Linked DNA regions of Mus musculus: regions 1, 2, 3 and 4 are each reported to be linked to region 5. Evidence: microRNA targets listed by miRTarBase, many of them from high-throughput screens and not tested one by one. Region 5 holds a microRNA gene; each other region holds the end of a gene's coding sequence.

Region 1 (6,277 bases), not on the chromosome of region 5:
GCAGGCAGGGCTGATTGATGAGGGCTGTCCCAGCTGTTATTGCACAGGCTGGCAGGGATAGATGAGGAAGAGGTTGGCTGAGGATGGGAGAGTGGCACCTGGGCATGGGGGATAGGGATACAGTGGGAGCTCCTGAGGCCAGGCAGAGCCTGTGGCTTGGAGAAAGCAGCAGTAACAGGAGAGACTCAGTCTGTGATGCTCCTGCTCCAGACACCCCTGGGGTGCTGCACCTGGCTTATCGCTAAGGAGGCATGCAAATGCCAGGTGTTAGTAATGGGAAATCAGGGGAGAGGTGTTAGGAACTGGATCTCAGCTCTCAAGTAAAGACAGATGTGGTGGAGCATACCTGTAACTCAGTGCTCAGCAGGTGACATCTTTGGGTTAGAGCAAGTGTCAGACCTGTCCCTTACCCTGACTCCAACCAACCTCTAAGTCTCTGATTACCAAGTTAGTCACCTGGCATTCTCTGGTCTAAAGCCAGTGGCCTCTTTTGTGTGTAGGTCCCCCTGATGTCCTCTTCACTACCCTGACCCTCCTCATACTGTTCCTCATCCAGGGTGGCAGTGCATCCGCTGGTCACAGCTGAGCAGAACCAAAGATGCTCACTGTATTAGTCCCACTACTCCTCAGTCCCTCCCGACACTAACGGTTCCCATTGGTTGGCAGCCTCCCTCCCACCCGTCCGTACTCCTCTCCGCTGTGCCTGGGATCCCTCCCATTAGTCTTCACTGCTCTGCTCCCAGTGTGGGCTGAGCTAGGCTGTGCATAGACCTCAGGGAGTCTCTGCCGCAGGAAGAGAGTCAGGATTGACAGGTAGGTGGCCTTGTGTTCAGCTGCAAAGGATACAGGCTGTCCTATTGTACAATCAGGTAGACATTTCCTTCTGTCGTATCATGAATGAGAATGCCCCCCTCCCATAGGCTCATATATTTGGATGCTTGGTCTCTTATCTGATTGAACTATATTGGATTAGGACGTGTGCAATAAGGTTTCAAAAGCCCATGCCAGGCCCAGTCTATCTGCCTGGCTCAGTCTGTCTGCCTCCTGCTTGTGGATCAGATGTAAACTCTCCACTATTGCCCCAGCTCCATGCCCGCCTACTACCATGCTTCTTGCCATGAAGCTTGCCTTCTGGAACTGTAAGCAAGCCTCCAATTAATGCTTTCTTTTATAAGTTGCTTTGGTTATGGTGTCTCTTCACAGCAATAGAAAGATAAATCTCTCTCCTCTCCCTCTCTCTCTCTCTCTCTCTCTCTCTGGTACTTTGAGACAGGGTTTCTCTGTGAGCCCTGAACTCAGAGATCCACCTGCCTCTGCCTCCCTCATGCTAGAATTAAAGGTGTGCGCCACCACGGTGCAGCATCCTCCTACTCTTGTTTGGTGCCTCTAGAAGCCTGGGAAGGGGTGCTTGAGCACAGTGACCGTGGCGGACTCAGGCAACGGGAAGCTTATTCTCAAACCTAGGGGTGAAGCACAGCAGGTTTGTGTGTTGTGCTGGGGCTCAGATTCAGGGCTGGAACCTGCTCAGAAGCAGAAGTGGTTCATGAGAATCAGCTTAGTGGCCTGGAGGGAAGGCTCAGCCGTCAAGAGTGCTTGCTGTTTTTCCAGAGGACCTAGTTCAGTTCCTAGCACATATCAGGCGGTTCGTAATTGCCTGTAACTCCAGCTCCAGGGGACCTGATGTCCTCTTCTGGCCTCTGACATAGGAGTTAGATCATTAAGACAGGTACTGAGCTGAACAGACAGAGTATGTTCAAAGGTCCACATTCTTCTTCAAGGGTCTCTTTTACCTATATCCCATGTCTTCCCATAAATTGCTCCGGTTCAGCGAAAAGTCTGCCCATGATTTCCATGTGTGTCAAAGGAGAAAGACTCTGGGAAGGGGTAGGTAGGGTGCAGGGTATCAAGAAAGACAAGGCATGGGCTAGAGAGATGGCTCAGCGGGTAAGAGCACTGACTGCTCTTCCAAAGGTCCTGAGTTCAATTCCCTGAAACCACATGGTGGCTCACAACCATCTGTAATGGGATCTGATGCTCCCTTCTGGTGTGTCTGAGAGAATCACTGTACTTGCATACATAAAATAAACAAGTAAATCTTTAAAAGAAAGAAAGGGCCGGGCATGGTGGCACACACCTTTAATCCCAGCACTTGGGAGGCAGAGGCAGGCAGATTTCTGAGTTTGAGGCCAGCCTGGTCTACAGAGTGAGTTCTAGGACAGCCAGGGCTACACAGAGAAACCCTGTCTCAAAAAACCAAAAAAAAAAAAAAAAAAAAAAAAGAAAGACAGACAGACAGACAAGGCAGGGAACAGACTTCTGAGCCAGGCCAGAGTCCTACCTCATCTGGGGATTCCTATGCCTACACTCAGGGGGGTAACAGTCTTCCATGAAAACAGTATTTCCTGAAGACGGGAAGAAAGTCAGAGTGGACCCAAACGTGGGTTTAATACATGTAGACTCTTACCTTCAACTTCCCCAAGTGTGGTGGACTCATCACCCATGACACCACCTCGCAGGCCCGGCAAAGGTCCAAGAAGACCCTGGGAGACGACACACACCAAGTTCCTTCCCCTAGAATATGTTCTCAGTTTTGCTGATTTTTTTTTTAAAGATTTATTTATTTATTTTATGTGAGTACACTGTAGCTGTCTTCAGACACACACTAGAAGAGTACATTGGATCCCATTACAGATGGTTGTGAGCCACCATGTGGTTGCTGGCAATTAAACTCAGGACCTCTGGAAGAGCAGTCAGTGCTCTTAACTACTGAGCTATCTCTCCAGCCCTGCTGATTTCTCTAGTTATAATTTTAGTTTTGTGTTCAGGAGACCAGATCTCATATAACCCACGCTGGCTCCAAATTAGTTAAGTATGTGAGACTCCTGATGGGTCAGCCCCAGTCTCCTGTAGACCTGGCTAGCCCTGAACTCAGAGATCTGGCACAGGCCACCACGCCCAGATTGCTTTTTGTCCCAGGACTGGCAAACTGGGCACGCTAAGATTAAAATGCTGTATCTGTCGAGAGGCTCCTCGATGGGTCATGGTGCAGAAGGCAACAAGTGACCAGGTAGGAATCCAGGAGATAGAAGGAGGGAGGGAGGGAGAGGGGGGCGGGGAAGGGAGGGAGAATGGAACCATCCACCTTTACAGTTAGCTCCTCCACGCTGGGACTGGCTCAGCCTATTCATGAGGGCAGAGCACTCTGGACCTAATCACCCCTAAGAGTCTGCCCACCTCTGGGTCAGGGAGATGGATCAATGGGTAAAGATGCCTGCTGTCCAAGCCTGACCATCTAAGTTCAATCCTAGGGACTCGGTTGGGAAAGGAGAGAATGGACTCCTGAAAGTTGTCAGTCAACTACATGAGTGCACTAGTGCCTGTACGTGTACACACACACACACATCTTTTTCTTTTCTTTTCTTTTCTTTTCTTTTCTTTTCTTTTCTTTTCTTTTCTCTTCTTTTTTAAAGGTCCCATCTAGGTTGGGCATGGTGGCACAAGCCTTTAATACCTGCACTCAGGGGAGAGGCAGGCAGATCTCTAAGTTCAAGTCTAAACCTAGTCTAAATAGTGAATTCCAGACTAGCCAAGGGTATACAGTGAGACTGTCTTCTTTTTTTTTTTTTTTAAAGTGGCTAGGTGGTGGTGGTGGTGGCACACGCCTTTAATTTCAGCTTGGGAGACAGAGGCAGGCAGATCTCTGAGTTCAGGGCTAGCCAGGTCTACAGATCAAGTTCCAGGATAACCAGGGCTAAACAGAAAAACCCTGTCTTGAAAAACAAAACAAAAAAATAAAAATAAGATAAATAAATAAAAACAAAAACGTCCCACCCCGCAGCAGTGTGACAACACACACACTATAGAAATATCACAAAAGAAAACATCTTTGGCATTAGTAACTTTATCTTATGCTTTTGGGAATCTGCTACTTAATTTATAGGGGTCTTACCATGCAACCCAGAAGAGTGTCACACTCATGATTCATCTGTCTTTGCCACCATTCCTTTGGGGCAACAGGTATGTACTTGGCTTAGTTTTTTTTTTTTTTCTTGTTCCTAATACAGATTTTGGGGTGGGGGTGGGGAAAACAAAAGAAGACATCTACCAACCTTATTTTAGCTAGTAAGGGGGGAAGGGATAATTTTCTTGAATTAGATAATAAAGATGTGTATCAGTGGTATCACAGCCGCGTAGGGTTCATAAGGCCCTAGGTTCAATCCGCAGTAATGAAACAGACGAACAAAAGATAAAGACAGAGGATCCCAAGAGACGGTGGTCTTGGCACTGGCCACACCCGCTGTCTCCAGGCCATTGGGTGGACAGGAGGGACACAGATTGAGTGGAAAAGCACAGCAGGTATAGGGCACGAGTGTGCCTCAAACCCTAGAGGACAAGTGTAGAGATGCTATAAAAAAGATCACTCTAGGGGCTGGAGAGAGAGCAGTCCCTGCTCCTGAGTTCAATTCCCAGCACCCGCATGATGGCTCACAACCATCTGTCCTGGGATCTGATGCCCTCTTCTGGTGTGTCTGAAGACAGCTACAGTGTACAGTGTAATATAATAAATAAATAAATCTTTGGGCCAGAGCAAGCAGGACCAGAGAGAAAAGAAAAAAAAAAGTTTCTGAAGACAGCTACAGTGTACTTACATATAATAAATAAATAAAAATCTTTAAATAAAAAAATCAGTCTATTGTAGAAGAAAAACCATATTTTTAATATTTATTCTTTTTTAAAAAGTTATAAATTTTAAATGGTTATTAAAGTTTTTTTTAAAAGGCTATCATTGTGAAATGTCACCAGTTTTCTTTTTCTTTCTTTTTTTTTTTTTTTTCGAGACAGGGTTTCTCTGTATAGCCCTGGCTGTCCTGGAACTCACTCTGTAGACCAGGCTGGCTTCGAACTCAGAAATCCGCCTGCCTCTGCCTCCCAAGTGCTGGGATTAAAGGCGTGCGCCGCCGCCCGGCATCACCAGTTCTTGAGTCCGATAGTTTTCTCACCCTGGCCCTTCACGTCTTACAGTTCATTCCGTTTTTCAGCAGCAAACGTCATCTGAAGTAAGAAGTCATGGGAGCAGCGCTGGGGAGACTCAGTGTTCCCTGTAGCGCCACCCGTGGGCAGGGCTAGAGGCTGCTAGGGCTCCTGTGTAGGACCTCAGGTGAATCTGTGGCTCCTTCCCGGCTCATCGGGCTTCCTTGTCTGTGGGCACCGCAGGCCCCGGAGCTCCGCTGCTCAGATGAACCTGCATGCTTGCCTTCATTCCAGTTTGATTCTAGTCAGCTCCCAGCTTCCTCCTCCGTGGAGTCTCAGAACCCAGGAGTGAAACTGCAAGAGCCCAGGACCCCACTGAGGTCAGACAGCTGCCAGAGCAGTCACCCCAATCCCTCTGCTACCTGACACCCCCAGGCCCAGCCTTTGGGTTCTTTCTCCTCAGCAGGCCACCCCTGTGGCCTGGGTACCTTCTCAAGGCTGGGACGATGTCCCACGCTGATAAATGTCATCCCCAGTTGCTGACCAATTCGGTAGAGCTCACTCTCTGCTTCCTCTGTCAGGGCACTGGTGGCTTCATCGAGCACTGACGAGCAGCATGTGGTGGCGAGAGATCACAGACTGCCCTTGCCCTCTCTGTCACTCCTCCAACCCATTCACCCTGGGATGTGGTGGACTGACAGGAGAGTCACGCCAAGATAGAGATCACACCTGTGAGCCTGGCTCAGATCTCACAGCTGCCTGCAGACAAATAACACTGTGCCCCAAGACTGTACAACCCAGGACTCTCAATTCATCCGAGGCTCTGTGCTCAGAAGTGTCCATACCTGCTACAATATGCATGTACATATTCCTGCCAGGCACAGCTCGGGGATGCCCGCTCATCTGTGGCAGAACCCAGGGAGCTACGATCACAAGCCCTCTAACTGAGGCTGCCTAACAAGTGCATTTACACTCTCAGGACTATGCCAAGGGGCCAAGCTCTGCTCATCACGGGTAGAGGACACAGGGAGGGATACCCAGTCATGTATAAGTGCACATATGTGTCCAGGCTGTGAACACATGCTACAAGTACTCATGAGTACACACAGCGCCTGGCATGTGCGCCCATGGTGTGCACCTCACCTGCATACTTGGGCTGCAGGTAGAAGAGACGGGCGAAGGAGAGTCTTTGCATCTCCCCTGGGGACAGGACATCATACCTAGAAAAAGCAATAATGATTGAGCCCTGAAAGGAGGTGACAGCTTGACTTTTGCCAAGAATATATCTTGAAAGAAGCAAGTTCGC
Region 2 (6,277 bases), not on the chromosome of region 5:
TACGTTACTTCCTTGTGGAAGTACTTAACATGATTTGATAAATGCTTGCAAAATTACGTCTGAAAGGACTCCGTTTCAATAAACACAAAGCAGAAATTCCAAATGTTAAGAAAATATTCTTGATGGCTTGGGGTGTAGCTTGGTGGTAGAATTTACCTAACATGCACAAGGCCCTGGGGGTGTAGCTCAGTGGTAGAACACTTAACCTAACTTGCACAAGGTCCTGGGTTTGATCCTCATCGCTGCAAAAGGAAAGGAAAGGGGGAAAGAAGAAGAAAGGAAAATACTGTGGCATCATTTTATTTTAGAATATTTGTAGGGCCAGCAAGATGGCAGCACAGAGGTAAAAAGCACCTGCGGCACAAGCCTGGACGACTGAGCTGGATTCCTCAGTAAAGGTGGATGGAGAGGGCCACCCATCCACACACAGGCAGAATAATAGACTAGCAAGTATTTTAGCTAGTAATAAAATACTGATGTTCTATAAAATGGTATCTTAGTTTTGATCGATGGTATGTGCAATCTCCTTAAACATAAAAAGATGAACACATAATTTTGAACATTCAGACTTTTTTTTATAATGTTTTAAGTGCCCTGTGTGTGGACTTTTTTAAAAAAAAGATTTATTTATTTATTTTGTGCATATAAGTATACGTGGCTTATATATTATACTTGTATAGATGGCTGTGAGCCACTGTGTGGTTGCTGGGATTTGAACTCAAAACTCGGAAGAGCAAGCAGCGCTTTTAGTCGCTGAGCCATCTCTCTAGCCCCCACACTCAGTATTGCAGTGATTATGGGCTAAGTTGGTAGAGTGCACACATACACGTGCATCAAATTTAAAACCTAGAACTTGGACTCTGAGTAGTAGGAGTTCCTGGCCAGCATACATGATCCTCTGGGTTCCTTCACAAAGGATAGTGAACTTGGGATGCAGCTGTGGAGCACAGATGTTAAGTACCTGCCCTTCTCAGTGTGTGAAGCCCTGGGTTTGATCCCCAGCACCACATAAACTGGGTATGGTGTCACCTAGCTGTAAACTCAGCACTGGCCTGTAATGCCAGCACTCCTTCTAAAACAACAACAACAACAAATAACTATTTGTATCATAAAAACAACTTTCTCTAGTCTCTATTTTTTTTCTTTTTTCTTTTGGTTTTTCAAGACAGGGTTTCTCTGTGTAGCCCTGGCTGTCCTGGAACTCACTTTGTAGACCAGGCTGGCCTTGAACTCAGAAATCTGCCTGCCTCTGCCTCCTGAGTGCTGGGATTAAAGGTATGTGCCACTCTAGTCTCTATTTTAACAAATCAAAATAACTATTCAAGTTGATGCCACCTTAAATTAGTTTGGATTTTTATAAATTAATAGTTTGTGCTATTTTGCAGGGTGAGCCACATCAAAGACTTCATTGAAAAATACCAAGGATCTCAGAGAAGCCCTCCCTTTGCCCTGGCAACAGCTCTTCCTTTCCTCAGGTTTCTGGATGAAACGCTCACATTGGAAGAAGCAGATTTGAAGAATGCTGTAATCATTCAGAGACTCCAAAAAACTGCCGAGCCTTTTAGAAAACTTTGATAGTTTTTATTTTTGAGAGACTGAGAAAAATGATGGTTGCAAGTAGACATGCAGAGTGGGAGACAGAAGTCAATGTGACTAAACTTGCGGTTTGAGGGCTTCTCAATCCCTTATGAGGGGGTTCAGTCGTCACAAGCTAGGAGAGTGACATGGCTCTAAGCCAGGGTCAGTGCATTTTTCTCAACAGGCTATTCAGAAAAAAATACCTATTTTTCAAATATTAGTTAGCCAATATGACATTAAATAGCTGTGTCATTAATCTTAATGTGGTCTAAATTAGCAGAGTATTCAATTAGCTAAATCAGCATCAGCATTCAAATATTATCTCCAAACAGCAGATATTTATATAAATGTTAGCTATCTCAGTTTTTAAATAGCAATACATCAAAATATTATCCATGCCATATTAAAAGCATCAATGTAGTTATTGCCCGTGCTTCATCCTCGGAGCTTTTCAGTTTCTACTTGTGATGGCAAAAGATACTCAAATACTCATTTGGCAACAGTATCCAAGATGTAGACTCTTCTCGGAATAAAATTGTGTAGCTTAGTATAATATCAATACTAATCTATATACACAGTTTTCTATACCTTCTACATGTAATTTTATGGACTGGGAATGTAGTTCAGTGGTAGGGATTATTTGCCATACATACATGAGACTAGTTTAAATCCATCCCAGCACTACAAAAAAATCCTTTCAATTTGTAATGTAAAAGCACACACAAAAAAAATTCTTCAAAGCTGGGTGGTGGTAGTGGCAAAGCAGGCCTTTAGTTTAATCCTAGCACTTTGGAGGCAGAGGCAGGAGGATCTCTGAGTTCAAGGACAGCCTGTCCTACAGAGCTAACTAACTTCCAGGGTTACACAGAGAAACCCTGTCTAGAAAAAACTATAGAAAAGTTTTCAAATCTTTACTCATTTAAAAGGAACTTTGAAACTGCCCACAGGTGTATGCCCTAGCTCTAGCTCACACCAAGCTGAGAGGAGAGGAGCCCAGGAGTTTGGTCAGCATAAGAGACATAGCAAAACCCTGTCTCTTGATAGTAACAACCTTCCCACCCGGAGACATAGATGGCTCAGCTGTTAAGAACACTGGCTGCGCCAGGCGGTGGTGGCGCACGCCTTTAATCCCAGCACTCGGGAGGCAGAGGCAGGTGGATTTGTGAGGCCAGTCTACAAAGTGAGTTCCAGGACAGCCAGGGCTACACAGAGAAACCCTCTCTCGAAAAACAAACAAAAAGCAAAACAAACAAACAAACAAACAAAAAAACACTGGCTGCCCTGGCTGTAGATCCAGGTTCAATTTCCAGCATACACATGGCAGTGCACAGCCATATGAAACTTCTGCTACAAGATATCCAACTCCCTCTTCTGGCCTCTGTGGTCACTGCACTCAAGTTATACGTAGACATACACGCAGACAAAATATCATGCATATTAAACTAATAATTTTCAACGAGTGGAAAGATTTATAGAGAAAGGTGGTGTTGTATTTCCTTTTCTCCAAAAATGTAATGTCTAACAATGAAGATAAAGATTCTCACCTGGCTGGGTGTGGTTGTACATGCCTTTAATCCCAGCGCTCTGGAGGCAGAGGCAGGCGGATTTCTGAGTTCAAGGACAGCCTGGTCTACAGAGTGAGTTCCAGGACAGCCAGGGCTATACAGAGAAACCCTGTCTCGAAAAAAAAAAACAAAACAAAAAACCCACAAAAGATTCTTACCTGTTTCACATTCACTGTGATGCAGTGTCACCTAGCTTATAGTCTCTAGAAGACAACACTCCATTTGTGGGAATGAAAAAGAAACATTTAACTATATGATTAGAAAAGACAGTTTGACAAGGGGTCATTTGGGAGTCCTGGCCAAACATGGGAATTCACACTGATCACAAGCCCTTGAGAGGCTGAGGCAGGAGGATTACTGTGAAGTCAGGGCCAGCTTGGGCTACAGAATGAGAGTCTGTTTCCTGCCCCTGTCACAAGCATTGTGCGTCACTGTCTGAGATGGGTGACAGCTGCACTTGGAACCTTGAGTGACTCGTAGGTATTTGGTGTAAATGCAGGAATTCTACCCTCGCCCGAGTCGGCCCCATATGCTTCACCAAGGACAGAGAATGGCTCCACCCAAGTGGTTTCCGCGGTTGAGCTTTATCCCCTTGCCCAGTTTCCTCAGGCTCTGCCTTGCCTCCCATCCGCCCAGGAGGATGGAAAGTGTGAATGAGGCTTTAAGGAAGACTCAGGAAGAACAAGAGGGAGCCTGTGTGCGTGTATAACTAGATGTCCTTTCTTTCAGCCCTTCCTTGTGCAATCCTGTTTTAAAGATGCTTTCTTCCCAGGCTTCCATGCCAGACTTCTGTATTTTGGGTGGGCTTTGTGTAATAGAGAATGAAAGAGAGCATTTTATTTTGCCCTTTACCTATGAAATCAGCATGTATATAATAGAAAAATTAAATATTTGTCAATAACATTTACACAACACTATCAGAGTCCCTTTTAGCAATATAAACAATTCATTAACAAGAAAGGGGATAGTAAAATCAATGGTTTTATTTTTCAGATATAGGCAAAAACTTTTGATTGTTAATATGTTCAGGAATCTCTATGGAAATGTTTCATATAGGCCTATCCTGAAACCTTTCTATTTACATAGTTATAATTGACAAATGGTTCTCCATATTTTTATGAGGAACCTCTCACAAGAATGTTTCTTGTGTATCTACAAATAAGGCCTCCAGTCTCTAACCAGAAGGTAAAGTGGGGGTTCTTGTGTGTCCATGTAGAGTACTTGCCAGGGAAATGTTCCACTAGGAAGGTAAAGTGGGGGTTCTTGTGTGTCCGTGTAGAGTACTTGCCAGGGAAATGTTCCACTAGGAAGGTAAAGTGGGGGTTCTTGTGTGTCCGTGTAGAGTACTTGCCAGGGAAATGTTCCACTAGGAAGAACAATCATCAGCAATAAGTTGCATTTTTTAAAACTGTGAAAATGTTAATGTAAATAATGTTTGCAAAGATTTCCTTAAAGATAATCACCTGATAAATCTTTTTACTTGAAAATTCAAAAGTTATAAAGTTGCTAGCATATAGACTCCTTATTACAGGTTGATTTTGAAAGGATAAATTGCCAAGGGAAGCAAAATTTAAAGTAAGTGAACATCTCAGGAGTAGAATACAGGTTGACCCAAGTCATTGCTCCAGAATTGTCATAGTCCGTTGTCTTGTTTTGCAGATGAGATAGACATTGAAATACATATCTGATTGCACACATCATAATTTACGAGTTAGATTACTATCACTATCACAGCTAAAATAGCCGTACTTCATCACGACTCATTCAGCAAACCTCATGATGTTTCCATTCATTGACAATGTAGTAGTATGTATTTATTTTAGTGCCTTAATATATTTTTGATGTATTTGGCTAATGGTAAAATGAACTGTCTCTTGAAGATAAAATGCTGCTCACTGAAAGGATCTGTTTAGTGATTCACACTTGTTATACGATGGCTACTGGGAATGCTTTCGTCGTGTTTTATTTGGCCGAGTCCTACAGTTTGAGAATCAGTGATTGTCTGGTCTAGTGATTATTAGATGTCTTTTCATTAGCCAATGTTGTTTTCATTTCATACTCAGAAATGTGAAGAAGTGATACTTTAGTGGCTGTCCAATGGTTGTTATTTATTCTTTGCCCTAGCATGGAGGCTTGTTTACAGTGTTCACTCCCTTGTACATTTCTGCCACTTCAGTAAAAAGATGCTCATCACACTGGATCCTCAGTAAGACGTGGCTTACTTAGTTTTAAATTGTTTTGGCACAGACAATCCATACTCATTATAGAAAATTATATCATACAGATATCCTAAAGATAACCTCAGTATGAATTGACTTGGGATCTAGATAGCTCTACTGCCAGGCACCAAAAAAAAAAAAAAAAAAGTAGAATCAGTGTTTTTTTTTAATGTACTCAGCTATATTATCCCACCATGATAGAGTTTGAAAATTTGCATCTCCTTGAAAAGAAACTCCATCTGGCTGGGCAGTAGCAGTGTATGTATGCCTTTAATCCCGGAGCTTGGAGGTAATGGTTCTCTGTAGTTGAAGGGCAGCCTGGTCTACAGACGGAGCTCCAGGACAGCCAGGGCTACGCTGAGAAGCCCTGCCTCTAAGAAAGGCAGCACTGCTACACCCAATACGATCGATCATGTCCTTATTATGTGCTTATGGTTCATCTATATGTCTTTAAAATGAGATTTTTTTTTGGTTATTTGTATATCCCAATACAAGTGCTTTATAATTTGTTCTACACTTGGGAGGACATGTTTACCTTATATACATATGTTGTAATTATTTGCAGCACAGAGTTTTTCATTTCACTGCAGTGCAGTTGTGCTGTGTCCTAAGGAACAGTTGTCTAACTAATATGTGCATTAACCTCTTGTTGCCAGACTTATGGTCACAGCCTGTTTCCCAGCAAACCGGGTTTGAGTCATCCACCCTCCACGCACCAATTCAAAGAGTCAAATGAATAGTGAAAGGCAAGAAGGGAGATGTATTCAGTGTGGGCACTGTTGGGGTTCAGGAATCTCCACGTACACCATACAAAGTGATCTCAGTTAAGCAAGATTAGTTTACTGAACGCACACCTTAATGCTGGACGTCCAGGACCGCCGACAGGACTGCGGGAGCCTAATTGCGGTACTAATC
Region 3 (6,277 bases), not on the chromosome of region 5:
CAGAGGTTCAGTCCATCATCATCTTCAAGGCAGGCAGCATGTAGCATCCAGGTAACCATGGTGTGGAAGGAGATAAGGGTTTTATGTCTTATTCTGAAGGCAAACAGAAGACTGGCTCCCAGGCAGCTAGACAAGAATCTTAAAGCCCATGCCCACAGTGACTTACCTACTCCAACAAGGCCACACCTCCTAATAGTGCCACTCCCTAGATCAAGCATATATAAATAACCATAGATGGATGGATGGATGGATGGATGGATGGATGGATGGATGGATAGATAGATAGATAGATAGATAGATAGATAGATAGAACAAAAGGCATAAGAAGTTAATGAATAACAGCAACATCATAAAAACATGGAGTCTGTTTTCTGTTGATCTGCTCTTCCTTGGTGTGACTCTGGTCCTGGAATATGGTTCATAGACCTAGTGTCATTGTTTCCCGGCAGCTATTATTTGCAGCTAGCTTAGAGGTGGGACTTCGTATCTGCTTTTCCTCCTCTGTGGTGGGATTTGGGCTGTGAGGGTCTAAGTGCATTGGCCCTGTTGGGTCCTCAAGACAATGTCTCCTTGGAGTCATCCACCACTTTTGCCCTTAGAATCTTTCCAGCTCCTCTTCTGCAGAGACCCCAGAGCCTTGAGGGGAGGGATGTATATAGACACCCCATTTAGGGCTAAGTGCTCCGGAGCCTCTGCCCGTCGCTGAGGACAGTTCTTGTTTCCCGCAGGTCTTTGAAGGAAACCGCCCGACCAACTCTATTGTGTTTACCAAGCTGACACCCTTCATTCTGGGGGCCTTGATTGGTGAGTGAGGAGAAGAAGGATGAGCTGGCTGGCTTGGGGTCACTTGGATGGGGAAGGGAAGGAAGGAAGGAGAGAGACCCTAACGGGCACCGTCTGTTGTTTCCTCTGCAGCCATGTATGAGCACAAGATCTTTGTTCAGGGCATCATGTGGGACATCAACAGCTTCGACCAGTGGGGGTGAGTTGCCGAGGAATCTCTGTTGTGCTTTTGGGTTGTCTCTGGAATGTGGCTGGCTCATCCTCCTCTTCCACCCTCCCCCGACAGAGTGGAGCTGGGGAAGCAGCTGGCCAAGAAAATTGAGCCGGAGCTGGAGGGCAGCTCTGCTGTGACCTCCCATGATTCCTCCACTAACGGACTGATCAGCTTCATCAAGCAACAGCGGGACACCAAACTAGAATAACTCCAGCCGCGGCCCTACTGACTGGTCCTCCGTGTCCCTTCTCACCATATGCACTGCATGGTCCTGCCCCTCCCTGCCCAGAGCGCACCACCGGTAGTTGGCCTGGACTACAAGGCTGTTGGGAGAAGCTGGTCTGGAACTGCCATCCACCCACTACGCACCCTCCCTGTTGAAGCTGATGGAAGGGCTTTGACGTGTCATGTTGTTCTGACCTGTATTTCACACCCCAGCTAGAATAAAGACACCTAGAGGAGGCATGGGGGCTCAGCCTCTTCAGTTTACTGAGTCAGTACTTTTATCTGTTACTTGTGGGTGACCCTGCTTATGCCTTGTTTGGTTGGCTCTTTACTTGGTGGTGGGCTGGTCCACAGTCTCGGAGGATTGATCGTTATGAGGGGACAGCTGGGTGATAGGGGCACTTGGGAGGCACAGGCAGGTCTATCTGAATTCAAGGCCAGCCTGGTCCACAAAATGAGTTCCCGGATAGCCAGGGCTACACAGAGAAACCCTGTCTACAAAAAAGGGGTTGGGTAGGGTGGGGTCAGGGATCTGCAGTTAGGTGGGCAACTTGCTCTCCAGTCACGTGTTCACCTCCTTCCCCTCCTCACCTTGGTGACGTGGAAAAAGTAATTCTGCTTCACTAGGTAGGTTTTTGCTTGCTTGTTTGTTTGTTTACCTTCGCTTTATTTTTGGTATCAAAACCTAGGAATGGGGCTGGAGAGATGGCTCAACAGTTAAGAGTACTGACTGCTCTTCCAGAGGTCCTGAGTTCAATTCCCAGCAACCACATGGTGGCTCACAACCACCTGTAATGAGATCCGATGCCCTCTTCTGGTGTGTCTGAGGACAGCTACAATGTACTCACATACATAAAATAAATAAGTCTTAAAAACAAACAAAAGAACCCAGGGATGAACTCGATTATACCCTTCAAAAGACAGTTTTAGCAGGGTGTCATTACTGTCACATTCATATCCTGGCTATCAGTGAGTCCTTGTGAGACTGAGTGACAGCCCTGTCATTCTACTTTCCACCATGTTAATTAGGCCCATTTGATGGCCAGTCAATAAAAAGACTTGGTACATGTCTTAGGGTTTTATTGCTGTGAAGAGACACCATGACCATAGCAGCTCTTGTAAAAGACAACATTTCATTGGGGCTGGCTTACAGTCCAGAGGTTTAGTCTATTATTGTCATGGCAGACCATGGTGGCACATGTGGGTAGACCTGGTGCTTGAAAAGAAGCCAAGAGTTCAACATCTTGATTCGAAGGCTGCGGAAGGTAGGCCTAGCTTGAGCAAGTTAGACCTCAAAGCTTGCCCCCACAGTGGCACACCCTTCAGCATAGCTTCACTTCCTAGTAATGCCACTCCCTTTGGGCCAAACACTCAAACAGGAGTCTACCCTGTAGACTGTACACAAACTTGGTCACTGAAGTGGGTGGTTCTGATGCTAAAGTCCTGTTCCCCAATTGGTTCTTGATTTGTCAGTAAAGAAAGCTAGAGGCCAATTGCTGGACAGAAGGTATAGGTGGACTTCCCAGGTCCCAGGAGGAAAAAAAGGCAGATAGATGCAGGGAAGGAGAAAGTGTCTTTCTGCTGTGTTTTAGAGGAAGAAGGACACAACAACCATGTGAGCTCTCAGGGGAGCCGCCAAGGATGTTTAATAGGGGCTCGGTGGGACTAGTTACTAAATTTAGGGCAGGTGGAGAGATGGTGATAATTGGTTAAGTGGATGCTTTTCCAGGCAGGAGATATCTGTGCCCAGCAATTGTGCCCAGAAGGTAAGTTGTAAAGTAACAAGCTGTGTGTCTTTATCTGAAGATTCAAGGGAAGCTCAGGGGAGGACATGTCCTGGAGCTAAAGGGGGTTAAAGCAAAAGGGAAGCAATAGTGTGTGTGTGTGTGGGGGGGGGTGTTTGGTAGCCCTTCTGGGTCCCCGGATTAAAAGGCACTTAAAACTACACTCAAACACTGAAACTTATAGAGGAGAAAGTGGGGAAAAGCCTTGAAGATATGGGCACAGGGGAAAAATTCCTGAACAGAACAGCAATGGCTTGTGCTGTAAGATCGAGAATTGACAAATGGGACCTAATGAAACTCCAAAGTTTCTGCAAGGCAAAAGACACTGTCTATAAGACAAAAAGACCACCAACAGACTGGGAAAGGATCTTTACCTATCCTAAATCAGATAGGGGACTAATATCCAACATATATAAAGAACTCAAGAAGGTGGACCTCAGAAAATCAAATAACCCCCTTAAAAAATGGGGCTCAGAACTGAACAAAGAATTCTCACCTGAGGAATACCGAATGGCAGAGAAGCACCTGAAAAAATGTTCAACATCCTTAATCATCAGGGAAATGCAAATCAAAACAACCCTGAGATTCCACCTCACACCAGTGAGAATGGCTAAGATCAAAAATTCAGGTGACAGCAGATGCTGGCGAGGATGTGGAGAAAGAGGAACACTCCTCCATTGTTGGTGGGATTGCAGGCTTGTACAACCACTCTGGAAATCAGTCTGGCGGTTCCTCAGAAAATTGGACATAGTACTACCGGAGGATCCAGCAATACCTCTCCTGGGCATATATCCAGAAGAAGCCCCAACTGGTAAGAAGGACACATGCTCCACTATGTTCATAGCAGCCTTATTTATAATAGCCAGAAACTGGAAAGAACCCAGATGCCCCTCAACAGAGGAATGGATACAGAAAATGTGGTACATCTACACAATGGAGTACTACTCAGCTATTAAAAAGAATGAATTTATGAAATTCCTAGCCAAATGGATGGACCTGGAGAGCATCATCCTGAGTGAGGTAACACAATCACAAAGGAACTCACACAATATGTACTCACTGATAAGTGGATACTAGCCCAAAACCTAGGATACCCACGATATAAGATACAATTTCCTAAACACATGAAACTCAAGAAAAATGAAGACTGAAGTGTGGACACTATGCCCCTCCTTAGAAGTGGGAACAAAACACCCATGGAAGGAGTTACAGAAACAAAGTATGGAGCTGAGATGAAAGGATGGACCATGTAGAGACTGCCATATCCAGGGATCCACCCCATAATCAGCTTCCAAATGCTGACACCATTGCATACACTAGCAAGATTTTACTGAAAGGACCCAGATGTAGCTGTCTCTTGTGAGACTATGCCGGGGCCTAGCAAACACAGAAGTGGATGCTCACAGTCAGCTAATGGATGGATCACAGGGCTCCCAATGGAGGAGCTAGAGAAAGTACCCAAGGAGCTAAAGGGATCTTCAACCCTATAGGTGGAACAACATTATGAACTAACCAGTACCCCTGAGCTCTTGACTCTAGCTGCATATGTATCAAAAGATGGCCTAGTCGGCCATCACTGGAAAGAGAGACCCATTGGACACGCAGACTTTGTGTGCCCCGGTACAGGGGAACGCCAGGGCCAAAGGGGGGGAGTGGGTGGGTAGGGGAGTGGGGGTGGGTGGGTAAGGGGGACTTTTGGTATAGCATTGGAAATGTAAATGAGCTAAATACCTAATAAAAAATTGAAAAAAAAAAAAAAAAAAAACTACACTCAAGTCACCTGAGTTTCATCTATGAAACCTATATAAAGGTGGATGGGGTGAGCTGATGTCACATGTATTGTGGCAGGCACATACTCAGTAATGGGATGTATATGGTACTTACTTGAGATTAGCCTGGGCTGAGTGAGCAAGTTCCAGACTTGTCTAGCTATACAGTGGAAACGTGTCTCAAGAAAAGGGTGGTAGGTCACAGTAGGGTCTCAGATATAGGTCAGTGGTAGCGCATGCTCAAAGATTGGGTTCAATCTATCATGTGGACACACTTGTGGGGTAAAGTTTCTCCAAGTTTCAAGTGCTTGACTTGTGTCCAGCAGGTGGCACTATTGGTAAGTGGTGGAAAGTAGGTGGGGCTCAGTTGGAGAAAAATGTCTCCCTTGAGAGGGAAAGACATGACTTTGAGAGATTTGCTGCAGACTCTTCTTTCCCTGTATCCTGGCTGCTACCTTTGTGGAAATGACACAAACTAGAAGAGTGCACCGGATTCCATTACAGATGGTTGTAAGCCACCATGTGGTTGCTGGGATTTGAACTCGGGACCTTTGGCAGAGCAGTCAGTGCTTTTAACCACTGAGCCATCTTTCTAGCCCATTTCTAAAATTCTCACACTGCTATGGTTTCTCAAAGTAGTCAAACTCACATGTGCTTTCTGTTTCTGGGATTAAACACTTGTGGAGGAAAGGGTTACTTTGGCTTATAATTTCCGGTCATGATCTATTATTGAGGGAAGTCCTAGAAAGAGCCAATGAGCAACTGCTTGCTGGATTGCTCCCTGGCTCTGTGTGTGTGTGTGTGTGTGTGTGTGTGTGTGTGTGTGTGTGTGTGTGTGTGTTTAGGACACAGGATAACCTCACATGTGATTCCTCTGGTCCAGTCAGTCCTTTTTTTTTAATTTATTTTTTTATAAAGACAGTGTCTCAGTAGCCTGAAAGTTACTGATCAGGTTGGTTGATCCAGTCCCAATTTCAGGGTTTATTTGCTTTTGAGATACTCTCAAGCCAGAGCTGGGTTGAGTTTCACTATTTAGTCCAAACTATAACCAGAGTTCACCCTTACCTGGCAATACATGCTTTTCAAATGTGCTTATTTTTTTTATTTTAGTAAAACTCATCACTAAAATTTTTCTTATTTTGGTTTTTTGAGACAGGGTTTCTCTGTGCAGTCCTGGCTGTCCTGAAACTCACTCTGTAGACCAGGCTGGCCTTGGACTCAGAAATCCACCTGCCTCTGCCTCCCAAGTGCTGGGATTAAAGGCATGAGCCACCACTGCCCGGCTAAACTTTTTATTATTTACTTTAATGTGCACCATGTGTATTCCTGCTGTCCACAGACTCCAGAAAAAAGAATTGGCATTGGTTCCCCTCCTGCCTACCCTCTGCAAACTGGAGTTGTAAGCAGTTGAGTAACCTATGTACATGCTCAACATTTTTATTTTGTTTTGTTTTTCCATACAGGGTTTCTCTGTGTAACAGTCCTGGTTGTCCTGGACTTGT
Region 4 (6,277 bases), not on the chromosome of region 5:
CCCATGGCCTCCTGTTTTTGAGACAGCCTCCACTGTATAGGTGTCTAAGCCTTTGCGGTCCTCCTACCTGAGCTTCCCAGGTGCTGGCATCATACTATATCCTGGTCATATTTATTTGTTTAGTGGGGGGAGGGGATCACCCTATGCAAGCATCTACCACAGAGCCACATCTCCGGTCCCAGCACTCTTTCTTGGCCAGTCTTCAGGCCTTGGAAGTTTCCAGATGTTGAGCTACGTGGAGTCTCAGATTGTGTGATTCAGACTCTTATTTCCCCTACAGGAAGCTTTGCAGTGTGGGGAGGTCTGTTCTCCACCATCGACTGTGGCCTGGTCCGGCTACGGGGCAAAGAAGACCCCTGGAATTCCATCAGCAGTGGAGCGTTGACTGGAGCTGTGCTGGCTGCGCGCAGTGAGTGCCGCCAGCCTCTCACCCCAGTCCTTGCCCTGTCCTGCCTGCCCTTCCTCAGCTGTGTGTCTTTCCGCCTCCCAGGTGGTCCGCTGGCCATGGTGGGCTCTGCGATGATGGGAGGCATCCTGTTGGCCCTCATTGAGGGTGTTGGCATCCTTCTCACCCGCTATACTGCCCAGCAGTTCCGAAATGGTGAGAACTTGGTGGGCGGTGGGCAGGGAGAGTCAGGAAGCACTGTCAACCCTCTCCATGCTTCCTCGCCTCATTACCTCATTCTCCCTTCTCCAGCACCCCCATTCTTGGAGGACCCCAGCCAGCTAACCCCGAAAGAGGGATCTCCGGCCCCAGGTTATCCCAACTACCAGCAGTACCACTGAGGAAGCCGCTGCCTGACCCCCGCCACCGTGGGAGCCACTCCTCAGTTCCCTCCCGGATGATCTACCTCCAAGGGAGGACTGGCTCCTACATAGCCCTGAGAGGCCTTCACAGAGGGCCTCAATTCTACTCTCTGGTTTTGTGGTAGGGGTGGGGACACCCCAGCAGCCTTGTCATATGGGTTCCCTTTTTGTGTCTTAGGGCATCCCAGCTTCATACGTGTAACAATTCTCTCACCCCCAGAGCCCTCGTGTGGCACCCTGATGAATGTTTAAAGCCAGTTTTGAAATGTCTGTGTATGTCTGCCTTCAGTCACCCAGATGGCCCTCTCTCTCCTCAGAAGGGGCTTGGAAAGTCTAGGGCTTGAGATTTCATGGTGAATGGGTTTGAAGGGTTTTGATGGTTTTTGTTTTGTTTTGTTTTTTGTATTGGGAAGTGGGAGAAAGAAGCAGGGTCTCAGCTGGGCATGGTGGCACACACCTGTAATCCCAGCACTTGGGAGGCAGAGACAGGCAGATTTCTGAGTTCAAGGCCAGCCTGGTCTACAGAGTGAGCTCCAGGACAGCCAGGGCTACACAGAGAAACCCTGTCTCAAAAACAAAAAACAAAAAAAAAGAAGAAGCAGGGTGTCACTGTGTTGTCTAAACTGAACTTGAACTTGTATGATACTACCACACCCAACCTCTAGTAAAGGTTTACAAAATGAATGAGCAAGGGAGGGAATAGTCAAAAAGATGAATTAGACACATGCATAAACGTGGTTAGGTGCCTAGACATGCTTCGTGCACGCAGGAAAGAAGGACAAGGATTGCTGGGAGCATGTGTATGCTGTGCAAACATACTGCAGACCCTCCTGGTACAGGCTCCCCGTGGAGAGCATGGGAAACCAGGCGCGTGAGAAAAGCCTTTGCCCTGGGCGTGGTAGTGCACACTTTAATCCAGCCCAGAGCAGCACAGAGGCCGAAGCGGAGACACACAGATCTCTGTGAGCTGAAGGACAGCCTAGTCTACAGAGCTTATCCCAGGACAGCCACGGCTGTTACTCAGAGAACCCTGTCTTGAAAAACAAAAGCAAACCAAAAAGAAAAAAAAAAAGAAGAAAGAGCAAAAGCTGGGCAGTGCTGGTGCACGCCTTTAATCCCAGCACTTGGGAGGCAGAGGCAGGCAGATTTCTGAGTTCGAGGCCAGCCTGGTCTACAAAGTGAGTTCCAGGACAGCCAGGGCTACACAGAGAAACCCTGTCTCGAAAACAAAAGTCCATGTGGCCGTATTACAGCTCTGGGGTGGAGGCCCAGGCGTCAAAAGAAGACTCCGTCCCTGTCACTTTCTCCTTTGCTGATGTCTAGATCTTTTTACATTTGCTGTTTTTTGTTACTGTCACTAATTACATTTTAAATTATTTTTATTTCATATTTTCATATATATTTTGATAGTATCTTTCCCTTCTCTACCTCCACTCAGATCTTCTCTTCATCCCTATCCACTTCATTTTATCTTCTGCTGTTTCTTTCTTGAGACAGGCTCTCACTTTTTAGCCCTGCCTGTCCTGGAATTCACTCTGTAGGCCAGGGTGGCCTCGAACTCAGAGGTCTGCCTGCCTTCTCTGTTATCCAGATGGACTGCTCCCAGGTTCTGACATGTGTAAACCCTTAAGTGGATGGGATAACTCTTGTCTCTTGGGGTCCAGTTGCATATAGAGGCATAGAAATTTCCACTGTGACTGTTGCGGTGCGAATGGGCTGTGGATAAGTGCTGGGATTAAAGGGGTATGCTTCCACACCTTGCTTGCTGTTTGTCTTTCAAGACAGGGTCTCACTTGTATCAAGTAGCCCAGGCTGGCCTCCAACTTGCTATATAACAGTGGCTTGTCCTGTGAACTGATCTTCCTGCCTTAGATTCCTAACTGCTATGGGGAACCAGTGGTTTTCTTTTTATTTGTTTGTTTGTTTTTAAAAATAAGGTCTCGGGCTGGAGAGATGGCTCAGCGGGTAAGAACACTGACTGCTCTTCCAAAGGTCCTGAGTTCAAATCCCAGCGACCACATGGTGGCTCACAACCACCCATAATGAGATCTGACGCACTCCTCTGGTGTGTCTAAAGACAGCTACAGTGTACTTACATATAATAATAAATCTTTAAAACAAAAAAAAAAAAACAAAAACAAAATAAAAATAAGGTCTCAGTATTATTGTCTAGACTGACTTCAAAATCCTCATCCTTTTGTCTCCCAAGTGCCAGAATTGAAGATTTGTTTTGTTTTTGGAGACTTGGTTTCTCTGTGTAGCTCTGACCATCCTGGAACTTGCTCTATTGCCTGAGCTTGAACTCAAGAGATCCACTTGGCCACCTCTCTCAGCCTCCGGAGTGCCATGCATCACCACTGCCCCGCCCAGACCTTTTTTTCTTTTTTTTTTTTTTCTTTTTTTTTTTTAAAAAGGACTTATCTATCTTTATTTTATGGGCACTTGTGTTTTCCCTGCATTCATCTATGGAACAGCAGTTACAGACAGTTGTGAGCCACCATGTGGATGCTGGGAATTGAACCCAGGTCCTCTGGAAGAGCAGCAAGGGCTCTTAACCACTGAGCCATCTCTCCAGCCCTTTTTTGGTTTTTCAAGACAGGGTTTCTCTGTATAGCCCTGGCTGTCCTAGAACTCACTTTGTAGACCAGGCTGGCCTCGAACTCAGAGATCCACCTGCCTCTGCCTCCCAAGTGCTGGGATTAAAGGCATGTGCCACCATGCCCGGCTCCACCCAGACTTTTTAAATAGACTCATTTATTGGGAGTGCGGGTAGACATGTCACAATGAACATGTGCAGGGTTAGCCCTCCTCCTGCTCTGTTGGTTTCCAGGATCAGATTCAGGTAGTAAGGTTCAATGGCAAGTGCCCTTACCAACCGAGCCACTGGCAACCCAGTTGTTTTGGAGAGGGTTTGGTTTGGTTTGGTTTGGTTGTTTGTTTTTGAGACAGGGTTTCTCTGTGTAGTCCTGGCTGTCCTGGAACTCACTCTGTAGACCAGGCTGGCCTAGAACTCAGAAATCCTCCTGCCTCTGCCTTCCAAGTGCTGGGATTAAAGGCGTGAGCCACCACCGCCTGGCTCCAATTTGTTTTTTAAGGGTGACCACAGTATGTTCAGAAATGAGTTTTCATTTGAGGAGAGGGAAAGTATGGGAAAGATCCCAGGTTCTGACATTCTGTGTAAACCCTTCCATGGATGGGATAAGCATTGTCTCTACCGGGGGTCATATGCCATATAGAGGCACAAAAATTTCCAGAGACTGGATTGGTTTTGTCACTGTGACTGCTGCACTACCAGTGAGCTCATGGATAATATATACATTTTGCAAGGCCTACATAATGAGATCCTGTCTGAAGAAAACAAAATGCGGGGCAAAGTTGAATATCTTCCACTCTCAGGGAAAAGCAAATCAAAATTACAGCAGGATTCCGTCTTTCTGAAGTGTAAATTGCTGTCATCAAATGATGAGGGACTCCTACAGTACTGGTGAGAATGTATCAGTAGAAAGGTTACTCAAAACAAATCTACCATATGACCCAGCTCTACTACTGGGCATACACCTAAAGGAGCCAACATACCACAGAGAGAGCTCACACATCCATAGTTATTGCACCGTCATTCACAGCTTTGGTGATCTTCCTAGGTGGCCATGAGCTGAAGAGAAGATAAAATATACACGCACACACACATGAATACGACTAGAATTATAGTCATCTGTAAAGGAAATTACTTTGTAGGAAATTTGATGGAACTGAAATATTGTTATGCAAAACAAGCCAGGACAGGTATTTAATCGTTTTTCTCTTGTGTAGACTGCAGAACAGAAAGACAACATATAATTAGGGGACAGACTGGTAGGGAAGAAGATAAGGATGAGGAAGAGGAGAGACGGGTTAGCCGGGGACGTTTGCAAAGTCCACAGTAATTCCTATGAGGTTTTCTTTTGTACACTTAATATCCGCTGGGGGGAAAGGCCATGTGACAAGCAGGATGGAAGATGCAGGGAGGCAGCTGTGTGGAACTCCATTAGATGTACACAACTGAAGGGAAGGAGCAAGTTGAGAGGAGTGAACAGCAGGTGGCATGGAAGCGCTTGCTTGCCCTTTGTGTTCAGAGACTGGACTCAGTGCCTCTGGCCTCCTCGAGCTGCAGCTGCCTAGTTATTTTGCAGCAGACATGACTCACCTGCATCTTTCTGGTTCCTTCAAATTTTCTTTTAGTTTTAAGAGGTCCCTAACCCAGGCTGGCCTCAAGCTGCCTTCTCAAGTCTACATGTGTGTTGTGTATGCAGAAACACACACCCACATAGACACAAATAGCAGACAATGACCTTGAACTTTCAGGCCTGTCCTCTGCTTCCTGAATGCTGGAATTAACAAGGTTTGTATGATCAGGCTCTGCTTATTTACATGGTGCAAAAATCAAACCCAGGTCCTCCTGTGTGTTAGGTAAGCATTCTCCCAATTGAGCTATGTCCCCAGCTCTCAGATCAGCTGCACAGATTTCTCCTGTGAAATGCTGGTGACAGCTGTGGAAAAATACCAGTATATGTATACAACTAAAGGGAAACAGCAAATAGTGGAGGGGTCACAGGTAGTGACATAGAGGCACTTGCTTGCCCTTTGGGTTCAGGGGCTGGACTCACAGGGCATCAGGCCTCTATCACGTGCTGGCCAGAAATGGTGGCACACACCTTTTATTCCAGCATGTACTAGGTAGAGGTAGACAGATCTCTGAGGCCAGTGATCTCCATAGCCAGTTTCAGAGCAGTCAGAGCTATAGACTCTCCAGAGTTAAGTAAACCTAGACCCTTACACCAGACAAGTACTTCCCCACCGAGCTATGCCCTAGCCCCTCACCTCTAATTCCTCCAGCTCCTTTATGCCATCTCTTCTGTCTAGGATTTCTGAGGCGTTCTTTCAGTTTACTCCTTCCGGAAGCTTCCATGGCTTTCCTTCCTTAACCTCTGGTCTCGGTTCCGTCCCTCGCGTCCCATTTGTTCTCCCTGGCTCTCTGCGTGGCCTAGATCTGCTATCTTACAAGAAGGCCTGTAAAGGGGCTGGCCAGATGGAGCAGCAAGTAATGGGACTTGCTACCAAGTCTGAAGACTTAAGTTCAAGGCCTCAGAACCCATGTAGTGAAAAACAGAACCAGCTCCCACAAGCTGTCTTCTAATGTCTACATGTGTGTTGTGTATGCACTAATATTTAGAAAAAGTTTGTTTCCAGACAGGGTTTTTCTCTGTGTAGCCCTGGCTGTCCTGGAACTCACTCTGTAGACCAGGCTGGCCTCGAACTCAGAAATCCACCTGCCTCTGCCTCCCAAGTGCTGGGATTAAAGGTGTGCGCCACCACCGCCCAGCTGGAAAAAGTTTGTTATGGTTGTTAAAAAGAGAGGTGTGAGGATCCCGAAGGAGCAATGCGGTCTATCACTTGTCTCTGGAGTGAGAATCACTCCACACACATGCTCAAG
Region 5 (6,277 bases):
CTTTTCTCTATAACTCTTCAACTTTATTTTTTAGACAAGGTCTCTTACTGAATCTTGGGGCTCACTGATGCAGCTACATTGGCTGCCAGCAAGCTCTGGGGATCCCCCACCCCCAGGGGGATTATAGCTCTATACTACCATCCCTACCACTGTCATAGGCATTTTACCAACCGAGCCTCTCCCAGACCCATAAGCATAAACATCCCAACAATATTCCGTTGTATAGGGTACAATAATTTACTTAACTATCCTCAATAATGCAGGTTTAGTTATATTCTTTATTAAGTAATGCTGTAGGAAACACCATTTAAAAATCTTTACTTTCTTTTTATAGCTTTAATTTTATTCAAAAATTACTTTGAAACTTTATTAACACTTTACAGACTGTTTACAATACTGTCAATATCATTATTTCCATAGAAAAGTATTCTCTTTACACTATCAATAATTATGTTTTTATGTTGCTTTAAATATATTTGTTGAGTAAATATTACACACACAAACTGACGAAGAATAATGTGCATTTAAAATTTTGATAGTTCTCTAATTTTTAAGGGCCATGCTGTTTGGAAGTAAAAGGAGAAGCTAAGAGAAAGGCCAGAAAAGGAACATCACTTTCACACAAACAGTGATGCATAAAAGGATGTTCCACAGTAGAGATGTAAAGCATGTTCTAAGACTGTGTTTCTTCTGAGGCTTAGGAATTACAAGGGTTACAATGCCTGTTACATGCACGTTTGGTGTGGATCGGAGTTAAACATGAAGGAGACTGATCACACGCTAACACTGTTATTTTGGGTGGTGTTGAGGACCTAACCTTGGTCCATGCCATCAGTTTTTAAGGCCATATGACTGCTGAAGTTGCAACTATCACATGCAAAGTGTGGGCAAAAGGTCCAAGAGAGGTTCTTCTCAGTTCAGCCAGTCCCTTTGTGCAGCTCTCCCCAATTTTGCTTAGAGTGTATCTTAGGTCAAATCTTAACAAAGGAAGAGGGCCTTATTTTGTGCAGAGCAAAGTTTGGTTAAAAGGGGATGAAACGAGCCAGGAGTGGTGGCACACGCCTGTAATCCCAGCACTCGGGAGGCAGAGGCAGGCGGATTTCTGAGTTCGAGGCCAGCCTGGTCTACAAAGTGAGTTCCAGGACAGCCAGGACTACACAGAGAAATCTTGTCTCGAAAAACCAAAAAAAAAAAAAAAAAAAAAAAAAAAAAGGGCATGAAACAGAAGATTAATGTCAGAATTGCACCTAGGTGCCTAGCAGTCCTTGGCCTGTCCCCTCCTTAGACATGACTGGCAGCAAGCTGACTAGGTTTACCATGGATCTGTTTTGGACTGACTATCCTTTTCTATCGGACAAGAAAAATAAGCATTTCTATGTTGCTAAGTTCTTGGCTTATTTGTAAGTCAAGTGTAGTGAAACCAAGTTGTAGTCAGTACAAGGGTCCCCTTCTCTTCCCAAAGCGGCATAACTTAAGAAGCCCTTTCCCTGAGAAGTACACCCTGTGCAATTACCAACCATAAGCCATGTTTAGCAGTCGGGTGCTGGGCTTGGGAAGACTCCAAGCTTATTACTTTTCATCACTAGCAAGACAGTCAATATGACCTGATGGCCATGATCTCTCCGAGCTGATTTGATTTGCATGGTCAAAATAATATCAAAACAAGTAGCATTTAAATTTGCATCATTGGTATCAAAGGGGGAAAACCCCATTTCCCCCCATGGGACATTCATGAAAAAAGGTGTCCTTCAAGCAGTCACTGTACTGGCACTGTTGCTGCCCAGTAAGGAGGTCGCTGCTTAGAATACTTCAACACAGTTCACTCAAATGACTCAAAGTCTCTTGCATAGTTTAGGTAAAACTTTGATTTATAATTTGAAACACTGTGATACTGTGGTTAAAATGGGCAGGAAATGTAAAATGACATGAGCTAATCCTAAGGGTAGGTTCTATAGTTAAACAGCAAAAGCTTTCAGAAATGCATTCATTGATGGTACAAAGGTAAAGTGGATATGAAGCCAGTGTTTGTGTGAACCTAACAGGGAAAATGTTCAGTTAACCTACGTTAGACCCTTGAGGATGTGTATTTCTAAGCATTATTAGATTTATTTTGGGCTTAAAAATATTTTACCAGTTGTGTGTGTGTGTCCACCAGTTTCTGTGGACCACTGTGTACAGAAGCCTGAGAAGGCTAGCAGATCCCCAGAACTGGAACTGTGAGACGCTGTGCTATGGAGGTGCTAGGAACTGAAAATGGATGGGTCCTCTGCAAGAGCAGGTATGTTAACTGCTAACTCTAGCTCCTTAGGATTTGTCTTTTCACATGTATGATGTTTGCAGGTATGGCTCTACATACGTATGGACACATGTGCACTTAGATTATCATCAGGAGTCTTCCTCAAGAACTCCACCGACTGCTCTCCAAACTCCCTCCCCTGAGTCCAAAGTTTGCTGATACAGCTAGTCTGGCTAGCCAGCTTGCTAGAAAGATCCCATTTTTGCCACCTGAGGGGTGGGACCACAGGCCACAGGCTGGCCACATACTCATTTGACTTTACATGGGTGCTGGGGATCCAAAACAGTCCTTCCACTTGCATAGCAACTTGGTTAAACCACTGAGCATATCCCCAACCCTCATTAATTTTATGTTTTAGGAGCCTGTTGCTACAGTACTTACAAAAATATCAGCTTGATCTTGTCCTGTATAAATCTATAGGCACTTGACTTACTGATTTCAAACACTTCATTCACACATAAAGCTAATACTTAAGAGATACATAATCAAGTACTTATCACACTGAAAGCTCTGAGAAGCTCTGTAGTGAATATTTGTTTAACTCTGATTCTGCTATTCTGGTAAATTATTATAGTCTAATTATGACTTTAAGTAAAGCCAAGAGAGGGACACAACGGAGGCAAATGGCTTCCAAGAATCCTGAAGCCGTCGTGAGTTCTTTCAAAAGGCGCTGTTTGCTTATCAATGTAACATTTCCATGTTTCAAACAGAGAACCTCATCAAGCCAGTTTGCTTTTATGGTGATGTCTCTGATGCTGAAAGAGACCAGACTTCTGCCTGAAGGCTTCATTGCATTCACTGCACTTGTAGGGTTTTTCTTCATTGTGGATTCTAACATGCTGATCTAAGTGTGAATTTAGGCGGAAAGCTTTCTGACACACATTACATTTGAAAGGTTTTTCTCCAGTGTGAATCCTATGATGTCGAATAAGGTCGGAGGTCAAGCTGAAGGCTTTCCCACACTCATTACAGTGATGTCTTTTGGAACGACCATGGACTCTCTGATGGTGGGTGAGGAGGAGGGCCCGACTAAAGGTTTTCCCACACTCCTTGCATTCTCGGGGCTCATCCTGACTGTGAATTTTTTGGTGTCGATTAAGATGAGAGCTTCGCCTGAAGTTCTTTCCACAATGGATACACAGATAGGGTTTTTCTCCAGTATGGATCCTGAGATGCTCCAAAAGACCTGCATTCTGGCTAAAGACTTTTCCACACTCTTTGCACTGGTAAGGCTTCTCCCCAAGATGGATTTTCTGATGTCTGATGAGGTGTGAACTTCTCTGAAAGACTTTCCCACACTCTTGGCAGGGATGACCTTTGTCTTTAGAGATTTCCTGATGGTCAGCAGCAACAGAACTCTGAGATCCTACAGATTCCCAGGACATTTCTCCTGTATGTGCCCTGTCATGTTCAATCAGGCCTGAGTTCTGAACAAGTCTCTCCTTAGTTTCCAAGCATTGGCTGTTAGTTTTTTCCTTGGGCATGGCTGGATTCTTTTTCAAGCTCAGGTCCTCACACTGGGCCTCAATGGGTTCAGTCATGGTACAAGATGATTCCATTCTTCCACAAGAGTCTGTCCCTGCAATGAGATTCCCATTCTCACTCCTTGTCTCTTTACCTGAAATAGTAAATATATATATCACTAATTATTTTATTTTTGGTGTTCAGGGAAAGGAATCTGCAAATAGCAGGAAATACTTAAATAAAGCCATGTGTATAAATGTAAAAACATGTTATGTGTGTTTTATTTGCATGTATGCATGTACACAACATGCATGCAGTGCCAAGGAAACCGTAAGAGGCTGTCCAGTTCCCGGAAACTGGAGTTACAGAATGTTGTGAGCTGCAATGTAGTTGACAGGAACTGAAACCAGATCCTCTGTAAAAGTTTTCTTAAGAGATGAGATCGCTTCAATCCTCACAAAGTAAAAAAACAACAACAAAATTTTGCTCATGATTATTTTATATATATATAAAGAGTGATTTACAAGAAACTGTGGTTTTGTTTGTTTTTTTTGAGGTAAGTTTTCACTATGCAGAATAACATGGCCTAACCTAATCCTCTCCTCTCAGGTCCCACAGTTACAGCACCACCACGTCCAGCCTGACATCTGGGAAAGTGTTAACCAGATTGGCTTTGGGGAAGGGCAGGGGTTGTGGTGGGAGGTGATTTATTTTAAATGTTCTATATTTTATTATGTGACATATGTTACACACACAGAAGCTACTAAGCATGACTGCATATTCTTGATCATGATTTGTCACCTGGGAAACAAAAAAGCACCATAAATCAGGTCACCCGAGGACCATCAAGTTAAGCAGGGAAGGTACTTTGACAAATGAAGATGAGTTGACATGGTGCCAATTTTATCACTGAGTAGTATGTAATCTTGGAAAAAGTGTTTACGTTCTTAACAATAAATCAACAGTACCGGGAGCATAAGACCTTGAGAATAATGCATTCACAAAAACATCATGTTGAAATATGATTTGTTCCCCTCAGAGGGGATCTATAGCAGATTCAGGGCACAAAACAAAACTTGGCTCTTTAACTATGGAAAGAGAGAAAGAAGCCAGAAACTGGAAGCTAACTTCCCGTGAGCGAGCAGGCGAGGACACTGACCCAGACAGTGAGTGAATGGGGAGCCTGGAGCAGGGGATAGAATGAATGAGGCAGGAGGGAGCCAGAAGAGAGAAACAGGAAGGGGAAATGGAAACAAACAGGCCAACAGAGTGCGGGTGAGTGGGAGGCGCAGCACAATTCGCTATTGCCTGAGGAGAGCGAAAGCTCTATCTCTCGGTTCCTCTTCCCAATGTGGCCACAGTACTTCATGTGAAAAAACAGAATAGCATTTCCCAGTTCACTAAGGGATCTAAGCAAGGAGAGACATCTATACATTCGTATTTAAGTGACAGAGAAGACTACAACATAACTTAGTGAAAGCATCAAAGACATTAGAGAGTTCAAGGCCAGCTGATCTACATAGTTGTAGTTGAGATCAATCAGAGCTGCACAGGAAGACCCTGTGTCAAAAAAAAAAAAAAAAAAAAAAAAAGAAGGGGGTGGGGAGGGGAGGGAGGGGAGAGAGAGAGAGAGAGAGAGAGAGAGAGAGAGAGAGAGACTGAGACTAAAAGTAAGAAATAGAACAGTAACAAAGCAGAGCCAAAGAAACTGATTAACACCCCACCCTCAGCACTGCCATTCACAGTGATTTGAAGGAGCTAGGAAAGGGAATAAGGAAACTCTGTCTGAGACTTTTTTGCCTCAGGGAAGAGCAACAGGTAGGCTCAGCTCCACTTCTTGGTGTGTTGTTCATTCAAATTGTTTGGAGTTGTAGATCTTTTAAATCTTGACTGTGTTACTAAGTTTATTGTATATACAAAAACAAACAAAACAACAACAACAACAAAACAAAAACCTGCACTGACTAGAGAGGCTACAGTTTAGATTATGTATACAAATTAAGCCACAACAGGCCTAATAAAAACAAATACCAAAATGCCGAGTGCCAAGGCAGAGGCACTGCATGGCCTACCATAATTCAAATGCAAAAAGATGCCATTTGGTTCTTACCTCTCTCCTCAGGCTTCTGAGGAAGCGCACACCCAGGCTGCTCCCGTGCTTCCCTGCGAGGGGCTGGCTCGCCAACCAGCACCGTTGGTCTGCTTCTTTGGGCTGAGTCCTAGAGATAAGTACAGATAATTAGGAAACCGGTTTACAAAAAAAACCACTTCAATGTCAGAAAAGAGAACAAAGAAACCTTTCAAGAGGCTAAGAAGAGGCAGAACGGAGAGCCTCCTTACACTTCAGCCTCACCGGGGATGGCAAGGGTGAGGCGAGGCCCACACTGACCAGCAGTGAGCAGTGCCCCGCCCGCTGCTGTGCTCATGTCCGCCTATGTGACCTGGGGGCTCACTTCTTACTTTCCTGCAAATGGGCACCTGCACCCCTTACCTTCTGCTCTCCTGCTTTTCCACGGT

The links. Region 5 holds the annotated microRNA mmu-miR-1896 (CUCUCUGAUGGUGGGUGAGGAG, at 3,294-3,315, shown strand). A microRNA usually pairs through its seed, bases 2 to 8, with sites in the 3' UTR of a target mRNA and lowers its output. Matches are read on the target gene's strand: a 7mer-m8 pairs with bases 2 to 8, a 7mer-A1 pairs with bases 2 to 7 and ends in A, and an 8mer does both.
Region 1: miRTarBase lists Abcd4 as a target of mmu-miR-1896. Seed matches in the 3' UTR shown: 7mer-A1 at 4,846-4,852.
Region 2: the mRNA of Ubxn2a is a reported target of mmu-miR-1896. Seed matches in the 3' UTR shown: 7mer-A1 at 2,444-2,450, 7mer-A1 at 2,786-2,792, 7mer-A1 at 3,243-3,249 and 7mer-A1 at 3,688-3,694.
Region 3: the mRNA of Gpi1 is a reported target of mmu-miR-1896. Seed matches in the 3' UTR shown: 7mer-A1 at 1,704-1,710.
Region 4: miRTarBase lists Timm17b as a target of mmu-miR-1896. Seed matches in the 3' UTR shown: 7mer-A1 at 1,361-1,367 and 8mer at 1,828-1,835.

Annotation. Positions count from the first base shown.
Region 1 is chr12:84,597,835-84,604,111 of GRCm38, forward strand. Abcd4 (ATP-binding cassette, sub-family D (ALD), member 4) reads right to left here. Exons shown (of 19, transcript NM_008992.2): 17 at 6,115-6,191; 18 at 5,460-5,575; 19 at 4,697-5,325. The coding sequence ends at 5,257. Among named protein-coding and RNA genes, the nearest start is that of Abcd4, 16 kb to the right of the region's middle.
Region 2 is chr12:4,875,880-4,882,156 of GRCm38, reverse strand. It overlaps Ubxn2a (UBX domain protein 2A), which reads left to right. Exons shown (of 7, transcript NM_145441.4): 7 at 1,386-5,343. The coding sequence ends at 1,575. Among named protein-coding and RNA genes, the nearest start is that of Mfsd2b, 4.7 kb to the right of the region's middle.
Region 3 is chr7:34,197,342-34,203,618 of GRCm38, reverse strand. It overlaps Gpi1 (glucose-6-phosphate isomerase 1), which reads left to right. Exons shown (of 18, transcript NM_008155.4): 16 at 729-804; 17 at 916-982; 18 at 1,070-2,292. The coding sequence ends at 1,205. Among named protein-coding and RNA genes, the nearest start is that of Pdcd2l, 3.8 kb to the right of the region's middle.
Region 4 is chrX:7,905,791-7,912,067 of GRCm38, forward strand. Timm17b (translocase of inner mitochondrial membrane 17b) reads left to right here. Exons shown (of 6, transcript NM_011591.5): 4 at 281-409; 5 at 491-601; 6 at 698-1,862. The coding sequence ends at 786. Among named protein-coding and RNA genes, the nearest start is that of Timm17b, 9.6 kb to the left of the region's middle.
Region 5 is chr13:21,441,916-21,448,192 of GRCm38, forward strand. It overlaps Mir1896 (microRNA 1896), which reads left to right and starts at 3,245; the gene lies at 3,245-3,325. Zscan26 (zinc finger and SCAN domain containing 26) reads right to left here. Exons shown (of 6, transcript NM_001347491.1): 4 at 6,252-6,277; 5 at 5,871-5,979; 6 at 265-3,914. The coding sequence ends at 3,016. It overlaps 4930470G03Rik (RIKEN cDNA 4930470G03 gene), which reads left to right. Exons shown (of 4, transcript NR_151504.1): 3 at 2,156-2,278; 4 at 3,007-4,915.